Caenorhabditis elegans: one gene and its partners. The protein of the gene in region 2 interacts with the protein of the main gene of each other region in a pairwise test. Each region holds a gene or a part of one and is shown on either strand. Other genes may lie near its edges.

What was found.
Region 1: the proteins of pas-4 (region 2) and F47D12.3 interact in a two-hybrid assay, tested with the Caenorhabditis elegans proteins (2 studies listed by BioGRID).
Region 3: the proteins of pas-4 (region 2) and kel-8 interact in a two-hybrid assay, tested with the Caenorhabditis elegans proteins (2 studies listed by BioGRID).
Region 4: the proteins of pas-4 (region 2) and arl-13 interact in a two-hybrid assay, tested with the Caenorhabditis elegans proteins (one study listed by BioGRID).

Annotation. Positions count from the first base shown.
Region 1 is NC_003281.10:6,296,760-6,299,897, reverse strand, and holds F47D12.3 (BTB/POZ domain-containing protein), read right to left. Parts: upstream 1,438-3,138; 5' UTR 1,407-1,437; coding exon 1,167-1,406; intron 757-1,166; coding exon 574-756; 3' UTR 524-573; downstream 1-523. Other genes in the region: putative WD repeat-containing protein F47D12.9, read left to right, coding at 1-101.
Region 2 is NC_003279.8:8,726,660-8,730,290, reverse strand, and holds pas-4 (Proteasome subunit alpha type-7), read left to right. Parts: upstream 1-1,803; coding exon 1,804-1,902; intron 1,903-2,163; coding exon 2,164-2,415; intron 2,416-2,461; coding exon 2,462-2,758; intron 2,759-2,838; coding exon 2,839-2,952; 3' UTR 2,953-3,073; downstream 3,074-3,631. Other genes in the region: C36B1.14 (Cysteine-rich PDZ-binding protein), read right to left, coding at 1-132; rpb-3 (DNA-directed RNA polymerase RpoA/D/Rpb3-type domain-containing protein), read right to left, coding at 327-454, 500-588, 638-885, 1,038-1,163, 1,211-1,345, 1,400-1,522. UniProt on the Caenorhabditis elegans protein: The proteasome is a multicatalytic proteinase complex which is characterized by its ability to cleave peptides with Arg, Phe, Tyr, Leu, and Glu adjacent to the leaving group at neutral or slightly basic pH.
Region 3 is NC_003283.11:2,669,446-2,674,496, forward strand, and holds the start of kel-8 (BTB domain-containing protein), read left to right. Parts: upstream 1-2,018; coding exon 2,019-2,078; intron 2,079-3,540; exon of another isoform or gene 3,541-3,555; coding exon of another isoform or gene 3,556-3,602; intron 3,603-3,650; coding exon of another isoform or gene 3,651-4,131; intron 4,132-4,184; coding exon of another isoform or gene 4,185-4,347; intron 4,348-4,406; coding exon of another isoform or gene 4,407-4,528; exon of another isoform or gene 4,529-4,722; intron 4,723-5,051. Other genes in the region: W02G9.4 (CUB domain-containing protein), read left to right, coding at 382-535, 622-741; thum-1 (THUMP domain-containing protein), read left to right, coding at 3,556-3,602, 3,651-4,131, 4,185-4,347, 4,407-4,528. UniProt on the Caenorhabditis elegans protein: Substrate-specific adapter of a BCR (BTB-CUL3-RBX1) E3 ubiquitin ligase complex that regulates degradation of glutamate receptors in neurons. The BCR(kel-8) ubiquitin ligase complex mediates ubiquitination and subsequent degradation of rpy-1.
Region 4 is NC_003279.8:2,063,961-2,069,595, reverse strand, and holds arl-13 (ADP-ribosylation factor-like protein 13B), read right to left. Parts: upstream 3,879-5,635; 5' UTR 3,848-3,878; coding exon 3,780-3,847; intron 2,893-3,779; coding exon 2,822-2,892; intron 2,762-2,821; coding exon 2,625-2,761; intron 2,421-2,624; coding exon 2,358-2,420; intron 1,559-2,357; coding exon 1,451-1,558; intron 1,352-1,450; coding exon 1,286-1,351; intron 1,240-1,285; coding exon 1,144-1,239; intron 1,092-1,143; coding exon 769-1,091; exon of another isoform or gene 728-768; coding exon 547-727; 3' UTR 502-546; downstream 1-501. Other genes in the region: rplp-1 (Large ribosomal subunit protein P1), read left to right, coding at 83-253, 303-467; moag-4 (Modifier of protein aggregation 4), read right to left, coding at 4,217-4,363, 4,427-4,528; rpb-10 (DNA-directed RNA polymerases I, II, and III subunit RPABC5), read right to left, coding at 5,037-5,146, 5,198-5,291. UniProt on the Caenorhabditis elegans protein: Cilium-specific protein required to control the microtubule-based, ciliary axoneme structure. Required for normal sensory cilium function. May act by maintaining the association between IFT subcomplexes A and B.

The DNA of each region.
Region 1 (3,138 bases), on a different chromosome or scaffold from region 2:
CAAGAGCCGTCTACTCGGATTGTTGGGGTGGTCGACCAGGGAATTCAGCTATCATAATGGCAGTTGGTGATAGCATGAGAGTTCACTCATTGGAGCTCTAACCATCATCATCAAGTTCAACTTAATCTTGTTAGAATCAGTCAGTATTTACCCTTCTCTTTAATTTCAGAATTCAGTGAACAAATTGTAAAAATGTAGTCAACTCATCATGTAACTATCTTTTTTATTTTCTCCCTTTCTCTATCTCTCTTGTCTCTCTCTCCCCGTTTGTCTCGTTGCCGGTCAAAACTTTAAAAAATGAACTCAAAAAAAAAGAAAGAAAGAAGGTGATAGTATGAATGCCTGTCCCGGTCTCGATATGCCATTTTAAACCGTTTTTCTCTTTAAGTTTCTTCTCATTATCATATAATTTTCTCATTTTTAACTCATTCCGCTACAACCTGTCTAGTTTCTTCCCCCAATCCGTGTTGTCTTCTCTGGTAGATTTTTGATTTCAGACATTTTCTATTTATTAAAATCTAAATTGTCATCTTTATCATTTATTGGATAATAAAATTGATTCTAGCTACCACTTTAATCAGAATCCTCATAGCACGCGTAGTACTGTCGTTTGCCAGTCAACTTCCACAACTTCTTTTTAAGCATTTCACGATATTTTTCGAGACCGAAAAACTCTGCCTCGGCGACTAGGGACTCAAGAGTGAAAATATCATCGGGGAGGCTTGTAAGTTTTCCATTTCTGAGATATTGGAGCACCTGGAAATGGAAAATATTATTTTTCACGTACAAACTTATTTTGTTTGATTGTCATTCGGGCGAACTTTTTAGAGGTGCTCATTGAGCAGAGACTGAATTTTGTTAATTTTCTGATATTTCCCTCAAAATACGGTTCCTGCTCTTGCCAAGAAATAAATATTTTCAATCGAAGAGGCCAAAAATGTGCGTCGAAGTTTCGAAACAAGGCACGTGTTACTGTAGATTTAAAGGGGCACCTGTTTGCGTTTAAAAGTATTTCGCTCTTGGTGAGGCACCGTTTTTGAGTGACCGAAAAAAATTGCAAAATATTTGGTAAATAAGTTTTCTTATTCGGTATGTGTAAAACATGTGCTAATCAACGAGGTCACCAACTATGTACTTAATGAAAATGTTCAAATTGAAATACTAACATGTCGAAAAAGAACTCCATCTCTATCAATATCGACTCGAAACTTGATATGATTTGGTGCAGTATCCCATTGAACTCCTCGAACCTTTATTGCTGCATCAGATACTTTAACCACATCCCGAAAATAAGATCCACAGGTTGTTGGATTCATAAGAGTTTTTACTTGAACTGGATACATTTCTCCACCAACAAAAAGGTTAAGCCATGCGTCCTCACAGTTGAACGACAGCTCGTTGACCATTTTTGGAAGAGAAGCTGAATGACGTCGTTGGCTGCAAAGAATCAAAATTTCGGAACAACAAATTATTCCCAGTGGGACGAGGGGAGAAATGGTGCTCATTGAGCACAAATTTGCAATTCAAATTCGGAAGTGAGAAGTTTGGAGAGAAGTGTCACTTTTTCTAGACAAGTTGTGTTCTCGACGAAGAGCAGTTGTAGGTAGGAAAAGTAAAAAGTAAGTGAGTGAGAGAGAGTTCTTGAAATATTGGTCAATTTGTTGATTCTATAAGAATTGAGAGGAAGGAAACATAAATAGAAAATGGGAAAACATTTATCTAGTTTATATAGAATGAGAAAAAAAGAAAGTAAGTGGAAAGCTGGAAAGTACGAAAAAATGAATAATTGGTATCTCTAAAAACATTAAAGCCCAGAAAAAAAACGATCAGATTTTGTCATAAATTTCAATATTCTAAGAACCACAAAGTCAGCTCTATAACGAAAATCAAAGAAACCTAAAAATCCCAGAAAAGAAATGGGAACAAGTAAGCAGTTAGAAAAGGAAGAGTGTCCTTCCAAACACTCGACATATACACAAATGAATGTATTTGTTTGAGAACATTTTTCTCGTCTTGTTGCTCTACTTTTTTGGGATGGAGGAGAAGCTCAACAAAGAAGAATACTCGATTTTTTTGGAAGAAAAGAAGAGAAAATGACGAGATGAGGAATAAGAATTTTTGAAAAGACACGCACTCCATCACCATCATCGTATTCTTCCCAACCATCATCTTTCTTTTCAATTATTCTCAATTTTTTATCCGAAAAATGTCTTTTTCATTATTCTAACAGATATAATTAGATTAAAACAAAAGAGAATTGCATGTTTTATGAGTGAGCATTCGAGACACTTTTCTCATATGAGCATATTCTTATTCAACTGGTGGGGATGGGTGGAAAGATGGGCGGAGTTTGATGATTCGACACTTGATTCCCTTGGGATGAAATAGATGGACGAACCAGATTACAAGTACGTTGGATTGCACGAAAAATTGGAAAAAAGATTGAAAAAAGCAAAGCGAAATTTATGGCTTCGGTTGATAAGAAATAGTAAAACTCATTTGTTTTCTTTTTTTCATTTTGAAAAAATAGATAGATACATATATCTTGATCTCACTGAACAGAAAATTTGGATATACTGTACTCTAACTAGAGTTCGATCCGAATAAAAAAATCCTTTATACACTCACATTTTGCAATCAGAATCAGATATCACAGTTAGATGCGATTTGTAAAAGCACATAAAGAAATTATTATATTAGATGTTGCTAAAGTTGGTTTGAAAATTTCGGAAACTTGCCTAGTAAGAACGGTTTTATATGCATGTGTTTCCAATCGGACTGTAAAAACATAAAATAATACAACCGTATTTTGATATGGTGTGACGTCAAAAAGGACTAAAAATTTTTACGACCAAAGGCGTCTTAGCCAACTCTTTCCAGAGGACAACTAATTAGAGGACAACATTTTTCAATCTCAAAATCTAAAATTAAAATTTTTTTATTGCATTTGAAACGTTTGAAATGTTTACAATCTCTTTATAAAAAATATTTTGTTGTTATAGTCACAAAATATTTTTTGAACTTTTTTTATGTTGAGCATACTTTTTTGTGTATATTTTTCATGTTTAATATTTCAGAGCAAATTAAAAGCGGAGCAACAGTTTTGGTTTTTATGTTTTTTGTAAAATATACTCAAAA
Region 2 (3,631 bases):
TCCAATCAGACGATTTTTTGTAGTTACTGTTTTTGGGCCACTTCCATCAGCGTTTCGATTAACTTTTTTATTTCGGTAAGGATCAACTCCGACGATTTTTGTAAGTTTCTTCTCACAGTCTCCACACACCATATTCTGCGAAAAAAAAGCCGTATTGTAAGATGTATGTTTTTTTACAAAATGAAATATTAAGATGCTCGAACGACATGTTGTAGAAACATTCTGAGGTTGTCAATCAAATTTAATTCATTCATGATAACAGGAGAGATACGAAAATCAACGAGAAGAGTTAATAATAACGTAAATAAATTAGAGATCCAAATAGTTTACTGCTGCTGGGCATGAGCTTGAAGTTCATTTGAAAGAGCCATATTTAGTTCCTCCAGTTTTCTCTTCAAGATTCCGATTCCCATTGTCACGATTCGCTGTGCTGGAAGAGCACCAGTTCCTTCGACTGAAACATTTAAAATTATAAGCAAAATATCTGACCGTGACTTACTAGAGAACCAGAACTTGTTAGGCTTGTTGTCCGGCTCGAATGGTGCCTCCTTTTCAGTGCTGTCTTCTGGTAAAGATGAATGATCGCTTCTGCAAAAAAAATGTACGAAATTCACAAAATACTGATAATAGTTCTTACCTTGGCCATTCCTCAACATTCGGATAAATTGTATGTCGGAGAGCATTGTCTGGATCATATTCAAATGCAACTCCACAGGTGGGATTCCATTTTGCATGTTCCTTTCCGAAACCCTTTTTAACATAGGCTTTTAGGTTAAGCTCTTGTCCCTTACGCAATTTTACAATCAGAATCTCTTCTCTGTTGTGAAATTCGTCACGGGTCGATCCACGCTCACGTAGTGCTTTTCCACAAGCTGGTCGGACGGTCTGTAAAATTCCAATTCAAATATTTATCAAATGTAGTGAAGTACGGACCCTAATAAGATTGCTCATCGATTTTATTTAAACGTTATTAATATTATTATTGAAATTTAATTCACTCCATTAAAAAAAAATGAGTTGCATTTTTTTAAATTTACCGTGTCTAAATTATGCATTGGCATTAGATGCTCGGTAGTAACAGCCAAAGTAGCTTCATCTTTACATTTCATCTGCAGAATGAACGGTATCGAACACTCATCGCAGAACTCGGCACATTCACAATCCTAAAACCAACATTTAAAAAGTTGTGAAAGATTCAACCCTATCTTACTCTGGTGTATTGCATTTTTTCGACATGATAATCAGATATGAACGGAATCAAACCCATGCGATGTGCAATAAATTCGTCGTGGAGGACAGAAGTGTTAGTTTCAATTTGAACCCAATCAATAGCTATGGTTGGCACCTGAAATGTAATTAAAAATATAGAAAGAGTAATGGTAAACAGGAAACAACTCACTTCTGCCATGAAAACTCGTCTCAGTGAATTTGCGACACTCAAATCAGTGTCCCACAGTACAAACTTGATTATATCATTTGTCAGTTCGGTAACCTCGATGTTAGGTTGATTTGCGTACGGCATTACTAAAAATGATTATTATAAGGAAAAATGAAAAATCTAATTATTGAATTGAAAACATTTAAGTCGAACAGAAATTCAAAACAAAACGTCGCTAAACAACACGCACATTCGTTATTTCGGAGTGTCGTTTCAGGTTCTCGGTTGGTAAGCGAAGTACGGTAACACTCATTTCAACTGTGCGCTTTTGTCACTGCACAATTTCAAATAATCATTTTTTAATTATTTTTTCGTTTTAAAGTTAAAAATGGTTCAGAGTTATTTCAAATTTTAAAATTTTTCAGATGAACAGATACGATCGTGCTATCACTATCTTCTCCCCTGATGGACACTTGTTCCAAGTGGAATATGCCCAGGAAGCTGTCAAGAAGGGTTCGACTGCGGTGAGTGGTTCCCCTGATGAAAATCAGTTGGCAGAAAATTATATGAGTTGCACTTTCATATGAATATGATATCAGCTAGAATTGAAGCACCCGATTCAAGAAGATTTTAGATCTATTTATCGTTTTATATTTAAAAATAAATCAAAAAATTCAATGTAGATGATTGATATTATCTATCTAAAAATCTAAAATTTCCCGAATTATGGTTCAAAATAATACGGTTATTTTTAAAACCTCAAGTTATAATTATGAATGTTTCAGGTCGGTGTTCGCGGAAAGGATTGCATTGTTATCGGTGTTGAGAAGAAGTCAATTCCAGCTCTTCAAGATGACCGCACAATCCGTAAAATTCATATGATCGACGACCATGTGATGCTCGCTTTTGCTGGATTGTCCGCAGATGCTCGTGTTCTTGTTGATCGTGCTCGTATCGAGTGCCAGTCGTACAAGTTGACTCTTGAAGATCCAGTTACCGTTGCCTATATCTCCAGATATATTGCAAACACGAAGCAGGTATAAATATTTTATTTATGCAAGCATAACTTTTACTGATTTTCAGCGCTTCACACAATCTCCAGGACGTCGCCCATTCGGAATTTCAATGCTCATTGGAGGATTCGATCATGACGGAACTCCACGTCTTTTCAAAACCGAGCCATCTGGAGCTTACTACGAGTACGTTGCCAACGCGACTGGAAGAGGAGAGAAACCAGTGCGTGAATACCTTGAGGAGCAATACAGCGAGGAAAATACTGTCGACGAAGCTACCACTCTTAAATTGGTTGTAAAGTCGCTGGCTCAGGTCGTACCACCAGGATCACAAAATATCGAGATTGCAGTCATGAAAAAAGTTAATGTAAGTGATTTCCACCTGAGATTATTTTCAGTAATAACATTTTTTTAAATTGAAGATGGTCCTTAATTTTAATTTTTTAGGATGAGCTGCAGCAACGTGTATTGTCAACTGAAGAAATCGAGGCTCTCCTGAAGGTTGTTGAGACAGAACGTGTGGCTGCTGAGGCTGAAGAGGCTGCATCCAAGAAGAAGTAGATTCGAACTTTTGTCTTCTGTCCATTATCCGTGTGTATTGATTTCCCAGTTATCTGCTCCCCTTTTCAAAACCTAATTTATTTTATTCATCTTTATTGACGGGAATGAAAAAGTTTTCCCTAAAATCTTCGAAATTCCTTTAAAACCATGAAAAGAAAGAAGCTATATATTCGAAATGACAAGATAATTGTGGGGTTCATTTGAAAAAAAGAGAAAAATATATATAAAGAAAATTCCAATTCGGCGAGCAATGGTTTCTGAAACTTCTAGCTTTCTGAAATATGGTATCCTTAAATGAGATTTGTTTTATAAGTTAACCTACATTTTCGAATAGAACGCATAATCTCTGCAATAATAATCACAGTCATTTTTTTTCCTGAAGTTCATTTTTCATTCAAAATTCTTCGATGAACCGATTGAAGTGGCAGTGGTTATGCAAATTGTTCTATACATTTCCTCTCCCAAGCAGAGGACCTTTTCGGTGAAATTCCGAATAAAAGTGAGCGGTACAAAAAGAGGGAAAGGAGGCAAATTTGAATATATTTCATTTATAAGCCTTCAAAAGTCTCCTCCTAGACTTACAAGATGCCATTGCCCTACGGCTACTTTTTTTTTCAAATATTAGATCTATTAATTTTATTAGATCTATTAATAAGATCTAATTTTTATATAATAAACT
Region 3 (5,051 bases), on a different chromosome or scaffold from region 2:
CCCTACAGTACTACTACAGTACCCCGACCATATCTCCCACTGACCCTAAACCAACATACCTTCAAAAGACAAAAACTGAACTTTGCCTAAACTACAGTAATTCTACAGTAATCCTACAGTACCTCTACAGTACCCCGACCTTATCCCCCACTGACCCTGAACCAATACCCCTTCAAAAGACAAAAACTCAATTTTGCCTAAACTACAGAAATTCTACAGTACCCGACCATATCCCCCACTGACCCTAAACCAATATCCCTTCAAAAGACAAAAACTCAAGTGTTCCTAAACTACAGTAATCCTACAATACTCCTACAGTACCCCGACCATATCCCCCACTGATCTTAATCCAAGGATACTATAAAATAACCATTTTTTCAGTTATTCCGGAAAGAATATGCCAGCTCCAATAACATCGACGAGCAACACTTTGTACCTGTGCTTCTCCTCAGACTTGGTCACCAATTTCTCGGGATTCTCCGGTCTGTATACCTCATTTGTCTCGAACAACTTCAAGCGCGGAGTACTACCACAGGTGAGAAAAGATCTAGGCCGGCTTGGAAGCAGGCAGGCATTTTTGTGCCTAGGTACCTAGGGCTTCACTAAAAACTAATCTTTCAGTCCCTGACAACGGATTCAGTGGCGATTCGTCGTGACAAGAACATTCTCGACTGGCTCAAAAAGAAGGCCGAGGAGAAGAAGCTTATTGGAGCTGCTGCAGCACCGGTTATCTCTATCTAGTAGTCCCCCGAAATTCTCAATATGTAATGAATTATTATTTCTTCGCAATTATTTTTTGCCGCTTACTGTATGAAAGTGAAAGGAAAATTAGAAAATTAGTGATGGGGGGGGGGGGGGGGTGATAAGAGAAATCTGGGTTGAAGGGGGAGGGGTAGGGCGATAAAAAGGGAAATTTTAGGAGGAAGAGAAGCTGGTTTTTAAAAAATAAAATTTTTGTTCTATGCCCGGACGCGGGAAAAATTTCACATTGATCTACAGTAGATCATCATCACGGGCTTCTAGTAGCGGTTTTTCGCGCTCCATTGAAAATCGGTGAGCGGAAATTGCAGTTCGGCAAAGGAAGGTTTCAAATTCGGCAATTTGCCATTTTGCCGATTTGCCGGAAATTTTGAATTCCGGCAAATTTCACGATTAGCCGGAAATTTTCAACTCCGGCAATTTGCCAGTTTGCCGATTTGCCGGAAATTTTCAATTCCGGCAACTCCCCGATTTGCCGGAAATTGTCAATTCCGGCGAGTTCCCGATTTGCCGGAAATTTTCTATTCCGCCAGTTTGCCGATGTGCAGGAAATTTTCAATTATGGCAATTTGCCGATTTGCCGGAAATTTTAAATTCCGGCAAATTTGCCAGTTTGTCCTAAATTGTCAATTCCGGCGATTTCTTGATTTGCCGGACATTTTCATTTCCGGTAATGTGCCAATTTGCCGAAAATTTTAAATTCCGGCATTTTGCCGATTTGCCGAAAATTTTCAATTCCGGCAAAAATCGACCCCAGCCGTGGCCGAGTCAAAATGGCCTGAATATAATCAAATGTGCTCCAACGCACCAGCCGACTGTGACGGACATTATTCAGGGCTTGACCTACAGAAATCGTTTGACCTACTGGCGCCTCATTATAAACTCATATGACGTCACAAATTTCAATAATTTCCCGCGCTTTCTGGAGGTCAAAGTGCCCATCCTCAACAAAACATCCCGTTCAGGGTCCTATCCCCAAGTCTCCAGACCCTAAAGCCTACAATCATAAAGCTTGTCACTAAATAATTGCCATGTTTTTGTCTGCCAATCAACTGACTGTCCCCCTCCTGCTGTGGTATATTCAGAAGATACCAGAAGCTGTAACAAAAGACGCAGGACGTACAAGACAGGTTGAGAGAGACACTGTGGGGGCGCAGACACACACAAAAAAATCAGGGGGCGGGAAGTGAATCGAGAGAGGAAGAAGCTGGCATCTAGAATACCAGACTGACAGGCGACACACACCACGAAAAAAAAACATGTGGACCTTCAACAGATCTACCGCGGAGGCGCCAACTATGCCGTCAAGCTCTAATACGGTAGGTGGTAACTATTTTACTTTTTCTGGAATTTCATTTTGTAAGCTACCACGGATTTCTGGCTTCCCTCTCATAAATTGAAATGGAAGAGTTTGCCAAACTAGGCCATTTTGGCTCGGCCATAAGTGGGGTAGATTTACGGCGCGTTGCGTGTCGCGTCGCGGCTCGATTTTAGTTGTAAAACTAAGTCTATTTGTCCGTGTGGAGTACACGATTTTAACACGCGTTGTCCGCCGGGCGATTGTCAATGGAGCGCGAAAAATTCTCTGAGGAAAGACAGAACCCCGTGATTTTGGCCTAAAAATCATTAAAACAGGAAAATTGCCGAAATAACGGGGTTCTACCCTTCCTCATTGAATTTTTTGCGCTCCATTGATAATCGTCCGAAGGAAAACGCGTGGGTAAATCGTGTACTCCACACGGACAAATGCATTTAGTTTTACAACTAAAATCGAGCCGCGGCGCGACACTCAACTCGCCGTAAATCTACCCCAGTAATGGCCGAGCCAAAATGGCCTAGTTTGGCAAACTCTTCCATTTCAATTTATGAGGGTAATCAGAAATTCGTCATTTTGGCCTAAAAACACCAATTTGGCCTAAAAACATTAAAACCACGGGAAATTTGAAACAGGAAAAAAATGGCAAAAAATTCTTGGAAACCGGCGAAATCGGCATAACTAATCCAAAACGTTCGAATGTACTATTTTGCCGCCAAACACCTAGCGGGTCATGGTGCGGGGGCCGAGAATTTCCTATTGGCAGTGGAGCGCGTTTCCACGTGGATTTTTCTGCGTACCCATAATAGCCGCGTCACACAGTTAGTCACCCAATTTACTACCTAATTGCATGGCCTTTGTGTCGGAACTCGTTTTTTTCGTAATGTCGCAACACATGGTACATAGATAAAAATCTCGAGATAACCTATAGTTCAGTTCAAATGTGAAGCAAATTTACTGGTGAATCGGGAAAAAACTGGTAAATTGTTCGGGATATATACTTATTATACATCAAAAATTGCTCGAAAAATTGTGAATTTCAGCTTTTTTTTCAGGAAATATATATTTTCTAGAAGAAGAATACCGGAAAAAGGTGCGGGTCATTTTGCACGCCATCACGAAATTTTCGCAAATTCCAGCGTTTCCGTCAAAATAGTAAATGTATATTCAAAATTTTTTCATCTAATTATCAAGTGAGGCTGCTCTTTTCAAGTTTCGCTGTAAAGAACCGCCTCTTTTTCGTAGTTTGTTTCACATAAAGTGGTGGTGACTCTGCAATTAAAGGTGTGCAAACGCGCTCTGTGGTTACGTGCAAGAGAGAAGAGATTTAGAGAAGTTGGAGGGAATATTAATTGTTTTTTTTTGTTTTTAATTGTTTTTATGTGTTTTTTTCGCATTTTTCGTTGATTTTTCGTTAAAAAACTTCAAAAACAATAATTTTCATTCAAAAATTTCAATTTTTCCAGAAAAAATCACTGAAAATGGCAGATAACGACAGAAAACGAAAGCATAACCGATGGAATCAAAAGTGAGAGCTAAAATTTGAGAAAAAAAAACTATTCTAAGACAATTTCAGAGTTAAACAAAAATCTGTGGAAGCCGGAGTGACCGGACTATTCTTTTCCTGCGAAGGCCACGAAAAGCAGGCCCTACAAGAAGCCTACAGTATTATTGACGAGCTTCTCGAAGACCCGGCGAATGGAATCTCTCTTAAAGCACCAGAAGCTGCTCCACAAGGCTCAGAAGCACCCGGAAATCCAGCAGAAGCTGAAGATTCCGATGAAGACATTGCCGATGCGTTGAAAAAGGCTTGTGATGATCAGAGGCAGCCGAAGCCGGGAAATTTCGTGAAAAAAGAGAGAAGATGCATTCAAAGACCGACGGGAGTGAAGAATTGCATTTTTGTGAGCGTGAAAAACGCGAATATTCAACTTTTAGCCGAAAAAATGGTCGAGCTGACGCAAAAAGCTCCGCGTTGCAGGTTTTTGCAACGAGTTTACCCGGTGGAGCATACTTTAGCTGTGGATCTTTCAAAAATGAATGAAGTTTTGATGAAGGTGCTTTTATTTAATTAAATTAATTAATAAAATAAAAAAAAGTAATTTTTCAGGTAATCTCCGACACATTGAAGGCAGACGGCACTGGCAAACTTCCCACGTATTCCGTGGAATTTAAAGCGAGAAATAACGATTCTGTGGCGAAGAATTCCGTGCTCCAAATGGTCGATGACGCCGTTTGTGCGCTGGCTCCGACTGCGAGAGTTAGCCTAAATCGTTAGTGTCTCTAAAAATCTGAAAAAATTTCAAAAAAATCAAAAAATCAATGATTCCAGACGCCGACGTCACATTCTTCGTTCAAGTATCTCGTACGACAATTATGGTTGGCGTGTGCCGGCAATTTTACGACCGCCGAAAGTATAGTCTTCGTGCGACGCCGGCAGCGGCAGCGACATAAGTCTCTTCTTCGACCTTTTTCCCCCTTTCACCCAGCGCCTCATTGGCTCAGTGGCAGAGCGTCTGTCTAGTAAACAGAAGGTCGCTGGTTCGATTCCAGCATGAGGCACCGAATTTTTTTTGTTTTTTTCATTTGTTCTGTTAAAATACTTTGGCTATTTATTTGTTAAAATACATGAAATTTGAGATTCGATTGTTAATTATTTTTTAAATGCATGGTATCTATAACTGTGACGTGTCAAAAACTCAGGTCGACCCTTGCTCGCGCGCGTCTCATGCACAACCGAGCAAGAAAAAAAACGTGCAACCAACCCGAAAATCTAGCTCACCCGTTCTGCGCACTCCCCAAAATCAACACTATTTCGCTCTCTCGCAGCTCTTCCAAATTGTCAAACAAACCGAGTAGTTACACGCACCCCCCGCCGAAACTCGGGAGCATTCAATCTGGCCTGGTTTTCCAGTATGCTGAAATTTTTTGGACTATTGTAAATTGTTTGTGAAAAAGGTCTCGCCACGAACGAAAT
Region 4 (5,635 bases), 6.7 Mb from region 2:
GCATTAATACTTTCTTTCAGCGTTCTATCAAACGTTTGTTCTCTTTGGAGCTAAGGCAAACCGCGCAACTTACGATTGAAGAATGGCTTCGAACCAAGAACTGGCTTGCGTCTACGCTGCTCTCATCCTTCAAGATGACGAGGTCGCCATCACCGGCGAGAAGATCGCTACCCTTCTCAAGGCCGCCAACGTCGAGTTCGAGCCATACTGGCCAGGACTCTTCGCCAAGGCTCTCGAGGGAGTTGATGTGAAGGTAAGGATTTCTCATAAGTATATTCAAGTTTCACCCCGATTGTTTTCAGAACCTCATCACTTCTGTCTCTTCCGGAGCCGGATCTGGACCAGCTCCAGCCGCCGCCGCTGCTGCTCCAGCTGCTGGAGGAGCCGCCCCAGCTGCCGAGACCAAGAAGAAGGAGGAGCCAAAGGAGGAATCCGATGACGACATGGGCTTCGGTCTCTTCGACTAAAGATCTTGTTATTTGTTTTCAATAAATCTGTTAACAACACCAAGAAAGTGTTTATGGCTTCAAAAGTGAAAAAAGGAGGTTATTTTGGCACTACTCGATTGTTCAGAACGTTTTGAATCCTTTGTATCCGGCTATATTGTCGACCAGGCGCTTTTGGTGGCAAGAAATAGTTGTCTTTCAGAATGATAGTTGGCTCTTCTTTAACACTGTTAGATTCCGGCGAAACAGGCTTCGTGCTTGTTTGTGAGATTCTGCAAAAACTGAAACAATCGGATTTCTCAAGTAAATTAATGTGACTCACTTTACAGGATCTCGTGGAGTTCCTGTTTCAGGCGTGCTCTGAATGATATCTGATGGTATTGTCGAGCTGGCAAGCGACATCGGCGGACTTTCTTCAATATGAACCGACGCGGACTTCGGATCCGATGGAGGATCAGGCGGGATCGGTGGTTGCACAGGTGGTTGGTTCCGAAGTTCCAGGCCAGCCACGTCGGCTTTCAAAGCATCGTGCTCCACTTTCATTTGCATCAGTCTCCGTTGTTCTTTGGCTTCTTCCTGACGGATCCTCAACGCCAACTCGGCGGTTTTAACACCCTCGGATAATTCCACATAGTGCTCAGAAATCTGAAAAAAAGGAAAATTTTAAAAATTCTAGAAAATGAAATGGGAATCCTACAGAATCGATGAATCTGACAAACTGCTCCTGATACTCATTTCTATCCTTTTTCGCCCTCGCCATCACCGTCAATGTGGCACTTTTTATGTTATCAAGCTGAAAATCGGTGGAATTTTGAATTTCTACCTTGAAGCGCACTCACATATCCGTTATACTTGTTGAAATGCGAGAAAAGTACGATTTTGTGTTGTCCCGCCTGGATTTTAGTCTGTGAAAAGAGGTTTGCGTGATAGAGAAGGAACACTGGGGGATGAAGAAGACGGGGACAGTTTACGGGAAATTATTTAAGTCACTCAAAGTCACTCACTTCATTCGAAATTTCCACGTCATCAAATTCTCGATTGTTCTGATTGTTGAGGAGCAGAAAAATTGGCTTTTTCTGCACATGTGGATTGCTGGTTAGGGAGTGGAGAGCCTGGAGAATGATAATTTTTTAAAAGTAATTTATTACCGAGACTTGAAATTTTGACCGAAAATACGGTATCCGGTCTCGACACGACAAATTTCTGTGAAATGCGAAAAGGTGTGCGCCTTTAAAGATTACTGTGGTTTTAAACGTTCTTTGCCCGATTTTTCATAGTTTTTCGAAAATATATGTGGTTTTAATTGTTTTATCACGAATTTCTGGCTTCCCTAGGAATTAATGGAATTTCCTCATAAATTGAAATGGAAGAGTTTGCCGAACTAGGCCAGTTTGGCTCGGCCATATCTGGGGTGGATCTACGGCGCGTTGCGTGTCGCATCGCGGCTCGGTTTTAGTTGTAAAACTACCGTATTTTTTCTATTAATATAGCTGCAATACTATTTTTCGATGGTCTTCCCGCTTGCAATACTAATAGGGAGTGCAAGACTATTAGGGAGTGCAATATTACACTCAAGATAAGAAAACTGCGTGGCGTGTACTGCAGAAAACCTCATATTTAGGCCCCGCCTTTTTCACTAATAGGGAGTGCAATACTAATTTTCGGAGGGTGTTCAAGGAGCAATACTAATAGGGAGTGCAAGTCTAATAGGGAGGCCATATTAATAGAAGAAATACGGTAAATGAAATTACTGTACTTTTGCCTAAAAATTTTTAAAGGAGCACACCCGTTTTAGTTTTTTGCAAAAAGTTGTCGTGTCGAGACCGGATAGCGTATTTTGAGCCTAAAAATCTTATTTCATAACTTTTAGGAATAATTCATAATCCTTATCAATTTCGTAACTTCTCTCACCTCAATCGACTCGGTGAATGTCTCATCCGTTGAATAATCAATCACATAGATGATTCCGTGAACCTTAATTTATTTAGAATAATTATAATAATCACGGTTTGATCTACAAAAATGCGGGAATTTTTCTCCCAAAAAAATGTGACGTCAAAACGCTCTTAACCATGCGAAATCAGTCCCGCATTTTTTGTAGATCCACGTGTAATAAGAGTTTTCAAAAATTCTCCAGTGTGAAAGTGCGCCCTATCGCATGCACACACACACACACACCTCAGCATAATAATTGCTCCAAATTCCACGTATTCCCTTATCCCCGCCAACATCGTAGATCGTCAAATGAAAAGTCTCATCATACTCCATTTTCACTGTGGAGAACCCGTTGGTACGGAGCAAATCCCGCGGATCTTCTGGATTAAATTCAAATTTTAAAATAATTTCGGATTGAGCGACGGAGCGCACTTGCTTACCTCCCTTGAGAACTTTCAAAAATGTGGTTTTTCCGGCGCTTCCGATGCCAAAACATCCGAGTTTGATTTCTCTGAAAAAAAACCTATTGGGTCTCGGCACGATCTATGGGAATTCATCAAACTAAAAATATTGCTCAGATGCGGAAACTTGCGGATTTGCGTCTCGACACGACAATTTTTGTAAATTGCAAAACGGTGTGCGCCTTTAAAGAGTACTGTAATTTCTGGGTTTCGTTGATGTGTAATTCTCATGTGGGAAAATTGCTTTAAAACACGCATATGGCGTCACAATGACCGAATATCATGATAAAAAAATTCAAAAATTTTTTCTAGATTTTATATGATTTTTTGAAAATTGAAAAAATCTCAGTTTTCCCCTAATTCCTATTTGAATTTCCGCCAATTGAACTTGTTCGATGGAGCGCACTTGCATTATTTTTATTTATTTATTTTATTTTTCTTATTTTTCGGCCTATTTTCTTCATTTTTTTGTGTTTTTTATCGGAAAATGCGAGAAATAAACTAGAAAAATGCAAAATGCTTGTTAAAAAGTAACTGAAAATGCCTAAAACTGTAAAATATACTAATTTCAGGCTTGTCGTCGGAAATCATAATTTTACAGTTTTACGCCTTTTCAATTATTTTTTAACAAACATTCTGCAATTACCTTGTTTTGTCATTTTAATTTCCATTAAAAACGCAAAAAAAAAGAAAATCAGTGGAGAATAAATAAAATAAATGAATAAAAATAATTTTTAATATATTTTCATGGCAAAAATCGATCGGAAAATATTAAAAATAGCTGAATTTTCGACTTTAAATATAATTTTTTTTCCAAAAAACCTCGAATAAGGAAACATTTTTGGATTTTCCGTTTTACATCTTCAAAATTTCATAAAAAATGCTTTCAAGCAAACGATTTTCATTTAAAAAAATAAGCCTAAGAATATCGAATTACCGTCTGATAATAGGTGTACGATGGCAACAACAGCAGAAAATAGTTTCGAACCACGACTTTTCGGTCATTTCTTCTCACTTTCTACGCATTTCCTTGCGGTAAAGTGTGTGGTGTCGAAATCGAGGAGATTAGTTACGCAAGAAGTTGCTCTCGGCTTTCACGAGCGGCGGTTGCCATAGTTACCAGAGCCCGAGAGAGCACAAGAATTGTGGAGAGAAGCCGCGGGGTGGGAGGAAGAGATGAGGTGAGGCGGCGGCCGAAGAAGACAATCAGAAACTGGCTCTGATAATGATTAGGTTGGCGAGCTGCCAAGTGATCATACATTTTTCAGGAGAAGGAGACAGAGGCATTCATTTTTTTGGGAAACCCATACGATGTTTTTTTAAATACGAATAAAATAAAACAAAAATGATCAAAAAAAAGTGAGAATTAATCAATCACATCTTCAATGGGTCCACTTTGGCGACCTTCTTTGCGTTTGCAGCAGCTGCAGCGGCTTCGGCTTCTTTCTTGGCTGCCGCTTTCTCCTGCTTGATACGCATGACGTCAGCGTCGCGATTCATGCGAGCATCCATCGATAGACCCTGGAATATTTATTTGCAACTGGATATATATATGTGATTTGGAAATTTGAAATGAAAACTTACAGCATTTCCGTCTTGTCCAGAGGCTCCCTGGCGCTTCTTTTGATCGGCCAGTTTCTTTTGGTTCTTCTCACGAGCCAGATCTCTTTGATTTCCACGAGTCATTTTTGTTGGAGTTGTGCTGCTCAAAAACTGTGTTTCTCGGATCACACCGGAGCGCCGTCAGCGATGGACAAAGCCGCCGTATACGAGGTTTTCTGGAAGAAAAAAACAAAGAATCGATAAGAAAGTGTCGTGAACGCAGACCGTCTCGGTGACATAAATGACCGAGATTAGGAAATGCGCGGGATAAATGAGAGACGTCAGAATGATAGACAGTCTGACTAGCGGACACGTGGAACTTTTTGAAGGAAAACTTGTGGAAGGAGGTGTAGTTTAGGAAATTCTCAAATTCTCGCAAAATAATCACATCACATGGACAAATAAAGAATGAGCTGTGAACTCAATTATACAATATGACAAAAATTAAATTTAAAAAGCAAACTTGAATCAAATGTTTCATCAAATTTTGAGAAATTAGTGAAGAAAAAGAGGAAAAACGGTGGAAAAAAGTAAAAATTGAGATTCGGCCACAACAAAACAGAAAAACAACAACAATTGAAAGGGGCTCCGATTACTTTTCCAGCGGATGGTAGTTGAGAAGCTTCTCGATGAGATCCACGTGAGCCAGAAGCATTCTTCGGCAACAGTAGCGACGAAGACCGAGCGCGTCGAGAGCATCTCCTGAGAGAAACGAGATTTTTTTCATTCAGTAAATCCGAGAATTTTAAAAACCTTCACTGTATTCCGACTGCAAGAATCCGAGATACGTCTCCCACTTGTCGCCGATGACTTTGCCGCATGTGAAGCATCTGATTGGGATAATCATCTTGTGATTTTGCTGAAATTTTCGAAAATTGAAGATGAAAACTGCACTTTTTCGAGATTTTTGGTGAAGTTTTGAACGAAACACTTTTGCCACAAGCTAATTGTAAAGTTTTTGAAGAGAAACTTCAAGAAAATCAAGTTAAATCACAAAAAATGGGGGCAGAAATTCTAGAAATTGAAAATTGTTCAAAATACGCAATGCGCGTGAAATATGGTGTTTTCAGTGCATTTGTCACAGCGGTGTTTGCACAGTTGTCGACCGTAGTTGCAGCAAAGATTTTAAAATTGGTTTTCCAATTTTCTTTTCGAATTTTTTTGTTTCAAGATCGAATTGCAAATTAGAGA